2 linked regions of the Macaca mulatta genome follow. The protein of the gene in region 1 interacts with the protein of each later gene in a biochemical or structural test. Links are inferred from orthologs where the notes say so. Each region holds a gene or a part of one and is shown on either strand. Other genes may lie near its edges.

What was found.
Region 2: of the proteins of MYB (region 1) and NLK, one has a biochemical effect on the other in vitro, tested with the Homo sapiens proteins (2 studies listed by BioGRID, with this or other methods). The link is inferred for Macaca mulatta from reciprocal best matches to the Homo sapiens genes MYB and NLK.

Annotation. Positions count from the first base shown.
Region 1 is NC_133409.1:40,273,287-40,279,437, reverse strand, and holds the start of MYB (transcriptional activator Myb), read right to left. Parts: upstream 3,696-6,151; 5' UTR 3,489-3,695; coding exon 3,466-3,488; intron 1,861-3,465; exon of another isoform or gene 1,725-1,860; intron 1-1,724. UniProt on the Homo sapiens protein: Transcriptional activator; DNA-binding protein that specifically recognize the sequence 5'-YAAC[GT]G-3'. Plays an important role in the control of proliferation and differentiation of hematopoietic progenitor cells.
Region 2 is NC_133421.1:36,729,503-36,735,416, reverse strand, and holds the start of NLK (serine/threonine-protein kinase NLK), read right to left. Parts: upstream 4,018-5,914; 5' UTR 3,987-4,017; exon of another isoform or gene 3,795-3,986; 5' UTR 2,889-3,794; coding exon 2,431-2,888; intron 1-2,430. UniProt on the Homo sapiens protein: Serine/threonine-protein kinase that regulates a number of transcription factors with key roles in cell fate determination. Positive effector of the non-canonical Wnt signaling pathway, acting downstream of WNT5A, MAP3K7/TAK1 and HIPK2.

The sequences.
Region 1 (6,151 bases):
AAAGAACCCATTACTATTTTCAAAAGCTTTTTCTTTTATTTAGTTAACCTAGGAAATTTGATGACTTTTGAAGATGTAACTCTATGCTTACTGTTTATTAATCACATACTGATTAGATGACAATAATTTTACAGTTTATTTTATAGTTTTTCTTATAAAAATAGGAAAAACACTATCTTAGAAACTTCACTAAAATTTGTCATAGAAATGTTGAGAAACCCATTGAACTAAGACCAATAAAAACAATGATATAAAGCCATGTCATAATGTAAATAGTTTTTAAAAAAGAAAAGTTATATTCATTACAGGTTTTGTCTTCCCAAACTAACTCACATATGCATATTACCAGCCCCCTACAAGTCAAGCTAAAGTGCTTACCAAAAATCCTGAATTGGGGGTTCTCATAATTTAAAGCTATTATTTTAAGCAACAATTTGATAGCCCAGGTTGTATGGTGACATGATGTAATCCAAATTTAAAATACCATCACCACCACCAAATAAAACTCCAGGAAATATATATTTATAATCTGTAATAATTCCCTTCATTTAGTTTTGAAACAATAGCCTAGTTCTGTTTCCACTGTCAACAGGAGGCACTAAACAACTTCTGAACAAGAATTACAAAAATATAAAACACAACATGATAAAGCAAAAAAAAAAAAAAAAAAAAAAAAAAAAAAAAAAAAAAAAAGCTATAAAGCCCAGAGGTGTAAGCCTGCATCTTTTGAAAGATTCACAGGGAACTCCTTGGAAAGCCCCCAAATGCAGTCCCTTGTGAAATGTGAGAGACACCAAGAAAACCAGAGGAATCTGAAACTGCAGTCATAGATTCAAGTCGAATTAACTTTTCAGGTTTGGCTGGATCTAGAGGTCACATTTTCAGAACTGAGGACATTTTTCAGAGCAGTCATTGAGCACCTCTCTCTCTCGGCAGCAGTTTTAACAACCCAGGAACAAGCAACCTATTCAGCCGCCCGCAGGGGGCAGCCAACGTCAGGTGAGAGCACGGGAATCAACAGGACTAGGGTTCTGGAGGCAAAGGTTCTAGTCTAGCCTCCACCTTGCTGTATGACTTGGACAAATCACTTCCTCTCTCTCAAGACTTCAGTTCCCCGCCTTTACATAAGGGCTTGCTTGGATCCTATTTCTAAGGTACTTTCCAGCGCTAATACATGACCCCCCCATGTCTTTCCGTGCCTCTTAAAAGCTAAGCACAGGAGCAAAGATGTGCAAAACCAAGGTCTTGGGGGCAAGGTGGAGAATGACTTCTGCGGGACCTGAAGGGGCCAGGACGCAGCAGGGCGAGTCCGGGGCTGCTCACGCGCCCAGTTCCTGAGTCTCCCTGCCAGGCTGGGCACCCAGGCTCGCCTTTGAACTTTGCATGCGATTTGCTTGCTCTAAGTCGTCCTAGTAGCATGATTAATTTCTTCTAAGGAACCTGAAATAACTTTTGCTTTATCTGCTCTGACGAGATCTCAGACCCAACAGTCAGAGGACTTTCAAAGGCTGATTTCAGGGTTGATGCACTCTACTCCCCACCTGCTAGACCCGGTGTGGTTACAAGAGTACAACTATGAATATTACATTCTGTCAAGGAAACAAACCGTGCAAAGAAACGAAAAAGAAAAGAGGTGCTGGGGGTTGGGAAGAGGGAGGGGAGCGGGAGGAAGTGCCTTGTGGCCGCTACTGTGATTCGGAGGGGTTCAAACTCATTTCGCTGACCTGGTTAATATAATCCCTGCCGAGTTGACGCTCGCCCTTGCAAGAAACGGCTCCGAGCCCGCAGTCGGGTTTCTCTTCCCCCTGAGGCAGGTTCAAGGCTCCCGCCCCTCCCGGCCGCCTCCCCTCTGGGCTACCTGGAGCCTCAGGGAACCTGCGCGGCCCCGCCCCGCGGGGGCGGCCGAGACCTCGGGGCGCGGAGCCTCTGCCGCGCCTCCTCCCAGCACCTCTGCCCGACTCACTCCTCCCGCTGCCAGTTTCAGGTCTCGGAAAAAAAAAAAAAAAATACAGACGACCCCAGTAGCTGTACTGTTAAGTCCTAAAGGCGAAAAGTGGAGCCCTCGAGGGCAGCACCTGCCCCGCGCCACCAGGCGCCGGGGGAGGCATAGGGAGCCCGGGGCTCCCCCAAGTCGCCCTCTAGTCCTCAGAGCCCAGTCAAGCCCCAGCGCTGCTCCCCGCCTGCTGCTGCAGGGTCTCCACCCACGCTCTTTGCAACTTCTCAGCGCCGCGCGGGGACCAGCGCCCGCAGGCTCAACAACAAACCAGTAGGAGAAAATAAAATAACCTAAGGAAAGGCGAAAGGATTTGCTTTGCCTCCACGGACTTCTCCCTAGAACTCCTTCGCGAGGGTCCGTCCGGTCACCGCGCCTCGGCCGGGGCGACCTAAGGCGGCTGAAGGAGGGCGCGAGGAGGCGCGGCGACCTCAGTCGCACCCACGTGTGCGCGCCGCGCAGGGACCTCTCGACTGGGGGCAGAGCTCGCGGGGATCGCGTCCCGGTTGCGCGGCAGCGTCCTTAGGTGCTGCCGGCCTCGGTCCCCTTGAGCCGAGTGGCGACTGCAACAGCCGCCGAGCTAGCCCCAGCACCCGCCGCTGGCAGGGAGCCCCCAGCGTGTGCTGCTGGGGAAGTCCAGAGGCCGGTGGAGGCTGGGGAGCCAGCAACTGACAGTTCGGACGAGGATTTCCCTCCTCCTCCTCCTCTCCCTCTTCCCATCTGTCCGGCCAAAAATGTGAGGGGATTGCATCCATGTTCCCAGCGAGCCTGCCTAAGTGCAGTGACATGTGCGACGCCGGCATGTGTAGGTGCGCATGCAATGTTTGCAGTGGAAATAAAAGCCTTTCACAGAATAATGGTTCGAACCTCCAAAACCAGGTCTCAAGACAATTTGCAAAAGTAGAGACCCCTTTATCCCCCTAAAATCTGCTTTTCAGCCGCCTGTCAGCTGACACTGGTCCTCGCCTCCATAAAGAATGAATGAAATTTAAATGAACTACCTGCAGCTACTAAACAATCCAGCATTTTCCCTGTATCTGCCATATGCTCTGCACTTCCAAGTCCAAACATATCTCAATGCATCCAGCAATTACGCTGCGGATCCGTCGCCGACACCCGTGGCATCAAGCCAGGCACCTGGTAGGGTCCCCGGGGCTGGAGGGCACCGCTCTGTCCCTGGCTGGAACGTGCTGCTTTCTTTTTCCCCCTAAATAAAAATGTATCCCCATGCAACTTGCAAAATGAGCCGCAGGGCGTGCTTCCCAACCTCCGGATACATTTCCCGCAAAGACTCTTCCATTCATCAGTCTCTGGAGCTGCTTCTGCTGCCGAGACAGGGGCTCCAGGTCCTCGCAGGGTCTGACAGCCCCTCAGACGATCCCGGAACGAATTCCCACCTGTTCCCAGTAGCCTGGCGCCCCGCGCGCCCCCGCGTGCCCCCGCCCTCGACCGCCCGCCGGGCTCCCCGTTACCTGTGCCGGGGTCTTCGGGCCATGGCGCGGCGGGCGCGGGGCTCCGCCAAGAGCCGCGGGGACCGCACCGGGCTGCCGCCTCCCGCTGCCCGCCGCCTGCCTGCGTCCCTCCCCGGCTGCGCAGCGGCGCTCCGCACCGCCGGGGCGAAGTTTCTCAGGAGAAAGAGGAGGAGGAGGTCACGGAGGAGGAGGAGAAGGAGGAGGAGGAAACAGGTTGATATTAAAGTGTAAACTCTGTAAACAGAGATGCCATCAAACAAAGAGCTTTGGACACTCCCCCTCCCGCCAAATCTGGCGCCCCTGCAGTGCGCACGCGCCCTGCCCGCCGCCTCCGCGGTCGCCCTGGCTGCCGCCCGCTGGGCTGCCGGGCCGGCAGGGCGGCAGCTCCCATTCGGCGCTCGCGCCGCCGGGGTGCGCCTAGCGCGCCGCGAGGCCCGGGAGGCGCGCGGGCGGGGAGCCCGGGGCCGGGGAGGGGCGGCCGGGGGCCGCGGCGGCGCCTTTTCCTGCGCAAACCCCGCTCCCGGCCGCGGCGGGGCCGACCCGCGCCAAGTCCCGCCGCCTCCCCTCCTCCCCGGCCGCCGCACCGCGGTCGCCCGGCTGCGCGTGCTCCAGGGCAGCGGGACCCGAGCTCCTCCAGCTCCCACTCACGGTCGCGGGGGCGGCAAGCGGTGGGGGGAAATTCCTGCACAGAAGATTGGATTTTCGTCAAGGTTTACAACTGTGCCCTCTGGAGACGGGGAAATTAGGAGTTGGAGGAGTAGGGGATGGGAGCATGTGTGTTCGTAGGATGTTTGGCTAGAGTTTTTTTTCCTTCTTAAATAAATAACATCTATAATTTAACTTGTTAGTGACAAAGAACGCTTCAATACAAGTGGGCGGCAGCTATCACCGCTCTCTAATGGAGCGCCCCGGCGGAGCTTTCACTCCCCTCCCGGATCCTACAGCCGCCACCGTCGTATTGTCACATGTCCTTCACTCTCTCCCCAGCCCACACCCGGGCCCCACCCACCCCGCCCCGCCCGGCCCAGGCGATGCCCACAGCACACCTCAGCTCCCCTCCCTGCACAGCGCACACGCCCTGGATTGCACACCTGCAAAAAAAAAAAAAAAAAAAAAAAAAAACTCGGGGGTCCAGAGAGCCCGCCCCTAGCAGAACTCAGGAAACCCTACGTTTGCATGCGTGGTTTTAGAAGTAAAACAGTTTGTGATTTTGGGGGTCGGTATCCCTGCTTAGTGTCATTTGAGCGCTCTATTTTACGAGATAAAATCAGCAAAGGCTTTCGTGTTGTTTAATGAGGGTCTCCAGAAGTAAAGGAAGAAGATAAGTGCTGAATTTATAAGGATTGATGATTGGGGGGATTTTAGGGGAGTTTTAGTTTTACTTCCGTTTATAGATTAGAACCATTGGGGATTTTTTTTTTTTCATTCTCTGTACACACTAATGTATTTTTCCTTTAATCTTTTAGGAGTTTGAGACTTCTGCTGACTGGGTTTGTGGGTGTCCCATGTGCCCCAGCAGTTCAAACTTAGCTCAGAAAGCATTTTTTCTTACTAAAAAAGCATGTTCTTACTAAAATGAGTCATGATTTTATTAAACGGTGAAGCATGCGAGGTTTCAAGACTATCTGGTGTTTTAGACTTTCTTTAAAATTATTATATAGTTTAAATCTTTATCAAGTGTTAGTTGCTAGTAAGGGTTTTAACATTCCTTTCCTCCTGAGAAGAAAATAACACTGAAACAAAATTACTGTGAGGTATTTCGGATCACAATTACAAAGGACAAGTCAAATTAATACTTTTAAAGCCAATATTTATTTCTAGATTCTATAATAATTTTCTTTCTTCGCATCAAAAATAAACAAAATCTTTTAAAAATATCTAGAGTAAACATCTAGAAACCACCCCTAAAGGAATGCATTCTGGCTTTGGGATTGCTTTATGAATCTAACCGGCAAGGTTCCCAATTGCTGAGTCTCTTGGACACAATGTGAGTATCTGAACCCTTTGCGAAGTGAGTTCATAGCCTCTTTTCCAAGATTTTAGGAGGTGGAACTACTCCTAAATTCTTGAACCCCTTTAAAGTAGAAAGATACTAAGTTCAGTTTTCCTTTTTTTTCTTTGTAAATCATTTTCCTGTGTATCGTTTTGAGAATTTATAATTTTTCATTTCCCAGATATTTTGGGATATAGTTTTACATTTTTCCCTCAGTTGTATGACAATAATATGTTTGGGAATATGCATAGTCCAATAAAGAATACATATGCAGTAATTTTATTAGGCTAATGTTGGATATATTGCTATCTGATAAGCTTATGGAAAAACAGAATCAAATGGAGTTATCAAAATTCTTGTATGGATGAAACTACATTTTTAAACTCATTACAGAATGTTTGTATTTATACATTTTCTCTCTCCACTTATAATTATTACAAAAGTATTTTTAGATGACAACTTTACACATTTCCTAACTTTTTTTTTTTTTTAAGATCTGCTAACTACATCAGTTATTTTAGCTGTGGCAGGGCTGCACTGGAGCTAAATTTGGGTACAGCCTTTCATTTGCAGTGCACTAGAAAGGGGTCAGGAAACTCTTCTGTAAGAGACCAGATAGTAAATGCTTTGTAGGCTATGTTGCATATTCTTCTGTGTCTTTTCTTGTCTGTCTTTCTTTTTGTCTTTTTTTAC
Region 2 (5,914 bases), on another chromosome or scaffold:
TAAATTTCAAATATAATAAGCAATTCAGACAGCAGGTCATTGACATGTAAATATAAAAATAGAAAAGTATTTGCATACTAAAACATACACCTGGAACTCTTTCTTTTTTCACACCAAATTGTATTTCACCTGTTACAGCTGATGAAAACACTCAATATAGTTAACTAGAAAAACTTGGTTTAAAAAAAAGACCTGAATCACGTGAGGACACAGAAAGAGGGCGGCCATCTACAAGCCAAGGAGAGAGGCCTCAAAAGAAACCAAATCTGTACCTTGATCTTGGATTTCTAGCCTCCAGAACTGTGAGAAGTAATTTTCTGTTGTTTAAGCCAAAACAAAGAAAGACCTGACTAGATCAATTAACCAAGCAGCAAAGATGCCAAAGCACTGTGCTAGGCGCTGAGGAGAAAAGGATTACTACAGTAGACAATCCTTACCCTCAAGGAGCTTACAAGGTTTGTCTTGTAGTCAGTGACACAAGACAAACCTGAAATAAGATGGTGCACAGAGGTGTACTTTAAGTACATGAGACAAACTCCATAGGTGGTAGAGCAGTCAATCAAATAACTCTAGAATGGATTCAAATCAAATATATTTGGGCTTTCATATATCAGAGATTCAGAGTACCCACTAGCAGAACGTTTGCTGTGTGAGATGTTTCAGCACTCCAGTTCTTTATTGCCCCCTTCCTTAAAAAAATAAATAAAATTTAAAAATCTTCCCTTGCCACCTAAGTTAAAACTGCTACAAGTCACATCACTTTTTGATAGAAATGTAAGTGAAAAATGCCTTTTGAATATATTCAAGAATGCTGCAACCCATTTCCCTTTCAGTATCCCTAGTTTTTAGCATTGTATGTAAGGCACTAAAAAAGCCAGCAAGCATCCACATCTAACAGGCTCCAAACAAGTGCTAAAAGTTATTAGTAAATCAATGACAAAATTTAAACCAAGGAACAACCATTTTCCTGTCTGCTCCATCCCCCAACCAAAGCTTGGAAATCCTCAAGAGTTAGGCAAGAATAGGAAGTTCACAGTTAAACCTCTTAGATACTCTGTGGAAGGGACAGAGGAAGGCAGGAACAGGCGGGTCCCTGAGCAGAATGACCGAGGCACCATTACCAGCTATACTCTTTCCCACCTTGAATCCCACACACTTTGGAGAAAGGGCTGCGCTGCAGCAGAAACTTCCTTGGGGATTAGCTGAGAAAATACTGGACTCTACTAGCTTTTTTAAAAAATGGATGAGATCACTTAGTAGCCTAGATTGTCAAATCTGAAATATAAATAAGATGGCCAGTTAAAATGCATAAACGATGCGCCCATCAATTTTAGCCTCAAAAACAATAACGAAAGGAGATATTTACCGGGCCAGTTCCAAAGAGTTCATTTTCCTATGGTAATGGGGGCTTTTCTAGACAGTAACAAGAATCAGTTTTTGAATGCACTGAAAATATCAATTCATCTATCCAAAGTGTAATCATTAGTCCTTGGGAGAAAACCCAGTTCATTCTAGTTTTGACAGGAATAAACATATTTTATTATAAACTACTAATCTTTTTAAGGTTAGACCAAATAGACCAAAATGTTATATTTAAGAAGCCCTTAGGCTTTTACAAATGTCCTAGCACTAGCAAAAGTAGTGTCATTTGTTTAAAAAGTATTATTTCCTACTACAGCAACTGACCAACAGATAATAGGAACTTAAGAGGCACTAAATGACACTAAAACATTACACTGAATGTGGGCCACTGCATAGCTAGTCTACTAACCTCATTTGTGGTACTCATGTGTGATGCTATATTTAATGCATTCTTATCAAAAGGCTACAGCTACATACTTCCCAACTGTAGCTCCATGGTTTAAAATAAACCACTCAAGCAATGATCTTAACTGGTTCAACTATGAATCCTATCTTTCTTCTCGAGATCAAGATCACAAAATAAGGAGTGAAAAGACAGAAGGATAGGAAAGTAGTTATGCAAAGTATATCGTAATGACAAGAGTATTATAAAGGAATTCAGTTTGGATCAGTTGCTAACACTTAATGCCACTGGGCAACCGATCCAAACTAAATCAAACACACGAAATGACCAAGGTCTTTGTAGGAGTTAGTATTCCATACATTCATCTACTGATGCTGTGTTCAGTGGCTTGCTTAGGTTCTAACAGAAAAGTTTGGTAGACAGCAAACTTATGTGTGTTGCTCATGAGAAGGTGCTCCACCAAAACTTGCCATGAGCCTAGACAGCCAATGCATTAGGCCTAGACAGCCAATGCATTACCACTTTAGTGAAGGTGGCTTCCTACAGTTGGGTTGAGAAGCTTGCTCCACCTTGGTCAGCATGGAGAAAACCACGAGGGATGCACTCACCCAATCACAACCATCAGAAGAAACCATGAGAGGTTGTGTTTTTCTTTGGATACTCACCAGACAACACCAAAGGCTCCATATCCAATAGGTCTATCCGGCTCAATATCCAGCTGCTGTTGTGGATGATGCGAGTGCTGATGATGGTGCGCCTTAACTGTAGCAGCTGCGGCAGCCTGTACCTGAGCTGGGGCTGCTGCAGCTGGTCCAGGAGCCTGCCCCGGTGCCGGTGATGGGAAATATGGCTGTTGTTGCCCAGGGTTTAACATGGCTGCAGCTGCAGCCGCTGCTGCGGCTGCCGCAGCTGCCGAAGAGGTGTGCTGCTGTACAGGGTGTACAGCGGCAGCCGACCCCGGATGAAGATGGTGTTGAGGGTGGTGGTGGTGGTGCAGGTGAGGAGGAGGGAGGTGTGGAAGGTGGTGGTGATGGTGGTGGTGGTGACCTGCTGCTGCTGCAGATGTACCGCCATTGTAAGCCGCCATCATTTTTGCGTTGGCTCTTGCGCCACAAAGAGACATTCAAAATAAATGCCCTTTGATTGGAAAGCAAACTGGGTCAAGCTGTCATTTGGCCATTTAAAAATGAAGAAAAACCACTCACTCCACCTCAAAAAACATAGAGCGTAACTGGCTTTATGTCTTCATCAGTCAATCCAAACAAGTTAGAGGATCTTGGTGTTTAATTTTGGGGTGAGCGTGTGTGGAAGGGTGTGGGTTGCCAAAAGGAAAAAAAAAAGGAAAAAAGAAAAGAAAAAGGAAAAAAGGACCCCTTCCCCCCAGGATTCCTGCCACAAGTGGGTACTAAAACTCCATTCTTAATTTGGGGGAGGTTCCAACTTTGAATGTGGGAATAAAGGCCAAACCTCCCGACCCCCTGAACTCCACACACGAAAAGGATCAGGTAACACACCACCCTTGGAATCTTGAAAGAGGGTTGAATCATCTACCCCTTCCATTCCCACATCCTTTTCTAAACACCTACCACCTCCTCAAAAACAGGATTAAAAAAAATTCCCACTACCCTAAATGGAGAAGATGGGGGGAAATTTTCTGGGAAACCAGCTTCCAGCGTCCCCCCCCCCTCGAACTCTCAGGCCTTCCTACATCTCCCCCTACTCCTAGTCAGGTTGACCTGATTGGGGAGGGGGGGGCGGGGGTTCTAAACTTTCCTGGGCAGAATGAGCCAGGGAAGGAGGCTGGAGTGAGGAGAGGAGGCGACAGCAGGACAGAGAGGAGAAAGAGAGGTAGGGCAAAAGTGAAGGGAAGGAGGTGCAAGGAAGAATGAAAGATGTGGGCAGCGCTCGGACGCCTAGACAGCGGGAACCGCCCCGGGAGAAGGTTAGGGTCCCGGGGCCAAAGAATAGGAGCCCCGGGAGGCGGGCGGAGTACGGTCGGAAGCGGGCTGACTCCTGCCCCCGCCGCCGGCTGCTTCTGCTGAGGAGGGTTGGGGGGGAGAGCGGGTGGGTCCCCCGCGCGACGGCCCCTCAGGGCTCAAGGCTGCTCCGTCTCCCCCCCTCCCCCCCACCCGGCTTCCGTCCCCGCGGCCGCTTTCTCCTCAGCCGCCGCGGCCGCTTTCTCCTCAGCCGCCGCCTCCTCAGCCGCCGGTGCCGCCGCGGCCGGACTCACCTCCCCTAGCAAAGCCGGATAGACCGGAGCCAGCGGCGGACACGCGCAACCAGCCGCCGAGGCCCCGCCCCCGCCTTGCACTGACCGGCTGCCCTAGCCAATCCACGCCCACCTGTCCGCTACCGCCTCCAATCCTGGGCCAGGAGCTTCAGACAGGCGCACTGTTCGGCCAGTGGCAACAAGGTGTGGGTCTTCTGGGGAAATCCCGCCCCCGATCCGGGATGGGCAGATAGAAAGACCAATCAAAGGCAGAGTTTGGCTTGACCGACACGGCTTAAAGCCAATGAAAAAGCAAAGATCTTTGTGACATTTTTCTTTCGCCTCTCTCCTCTTTTTTCTTCTTTTATTATTTATTTATTTTTTGGCAGGAGCAGGAAGCTGCGTGCTAATCCCGCCTGCAAAAGCTGGAAGAGAGGGGCGGAATGAAAGAACCAATCATGAGCCAGAGGCAAAGAACAGAGTAACCAATCCTTGGGTTGAAAATGAAGTATGCGGGCACCTGGGCCAGATAGACACTTGACCTGACAAATGGAAAAAAAGATTGATGTAAGTCCCACCCTTTATAGCTCCTCTAGGACAGGATTGTGGAGAATTTGCTGTCATATCGAGACAACCTCTTCCAGGGGCGGGGCTTAGGAAAGGGGTGGGGTCTCAAAGTGGGCGGGACCTAGACGAAGAAGGCGGACCCCAAATCACCACTGGTCCACCGATCCCCGAGCCGTCTAATATACCACTTAAGATGTAAAGTGTGGGGCAAAAATAGGGGAAGAAAAAGGGAATGCTGAGCTTCAGAAAGTCAAGGTCCAAGGTCACTCAACAAGAAGACAGTCACAAAAGAAATTCAGTAGACTGACAGTTCATAGTCTACGGCCGGTCCTCTCCATGGTTAATCCTGATCTTGGCAAAAAGAGGAGGAATCTCCAGCATTCAGAACTCCACTGTCAACAGATGATAAAGTTGTTGGTGCAAATTAAAACAAAAAAGTAAACTTGGCCACAAAAATAATACTTTTCTTCCATCTTTCTTTCTTAACAGGGTTACGTTCTGTCACCCAGGCTAGACTGCAGTGGCACAGTCCTAGCTCGTTGCAGCCTCCAACTCCTGGCTCAAGCAATCTTCCCGCCTCAGCTTCCCAAGTAGCTGGGATTACAGATGTGCACCACCATGCCCGGCTGATTCTTTAATTTTTTAGAAACAGAGTCTCAATATGTTGCCCAGGTTGGTCTCAAATTCCTAGGCTCAAGAGATCCTCCCACCTCCCACCTTGGCCTCCCAAAGTGCTAGGATTACAGGCGTGAGTCACCGCCTCCAGCCTCTCCCATATTTTCTATCAAGTAAGTTTCTGTCATTGAAATCTTACTAAAATAGCATCTTTCCTTTACATCACTTGATTTATCTGAATTTACCCTTCTTTTAAAATGTGAAATAATAAGCTTACAGAACCTTATCCCTACCGAAACTGCATAGTTTACTCAGAAACTTGGAGGTCATCTTCAATTCCTCCTTTGCCTGTCCACGTTGTCCCTTCCAATCAATCAATCATCAAGTCTTTTTTTTTTCTTTCTTTTTTTTTTTTTTTGGTGAAGGGACATGGTCTCTGTTGCCCAGGCTGGAGTGCAGTGGCGTGATCACAGCCCACTGCAGCCTCTACCTGTTGGGCTCAGGTGATCCTCCCACCTCAGCCTCCCAAGTAGCTGCAGGCACACACCACCACACCTGGCTAATTTTTGTATTTTTTTGTAGAGATGGGGTTTTGCCATGTTGCCCAAGCTGAATCATCAAGTCTTAAACAATTTTAAATCCCTCTCACTTCTGCTTCTTCCCAGTCACACAGCATTTACCCAAATTTACACCACTAACATCTTTAACCATTTCCCTGCCTACAAGCTAGCTCTCCTTTGATCCATCCCCCTCTGGGG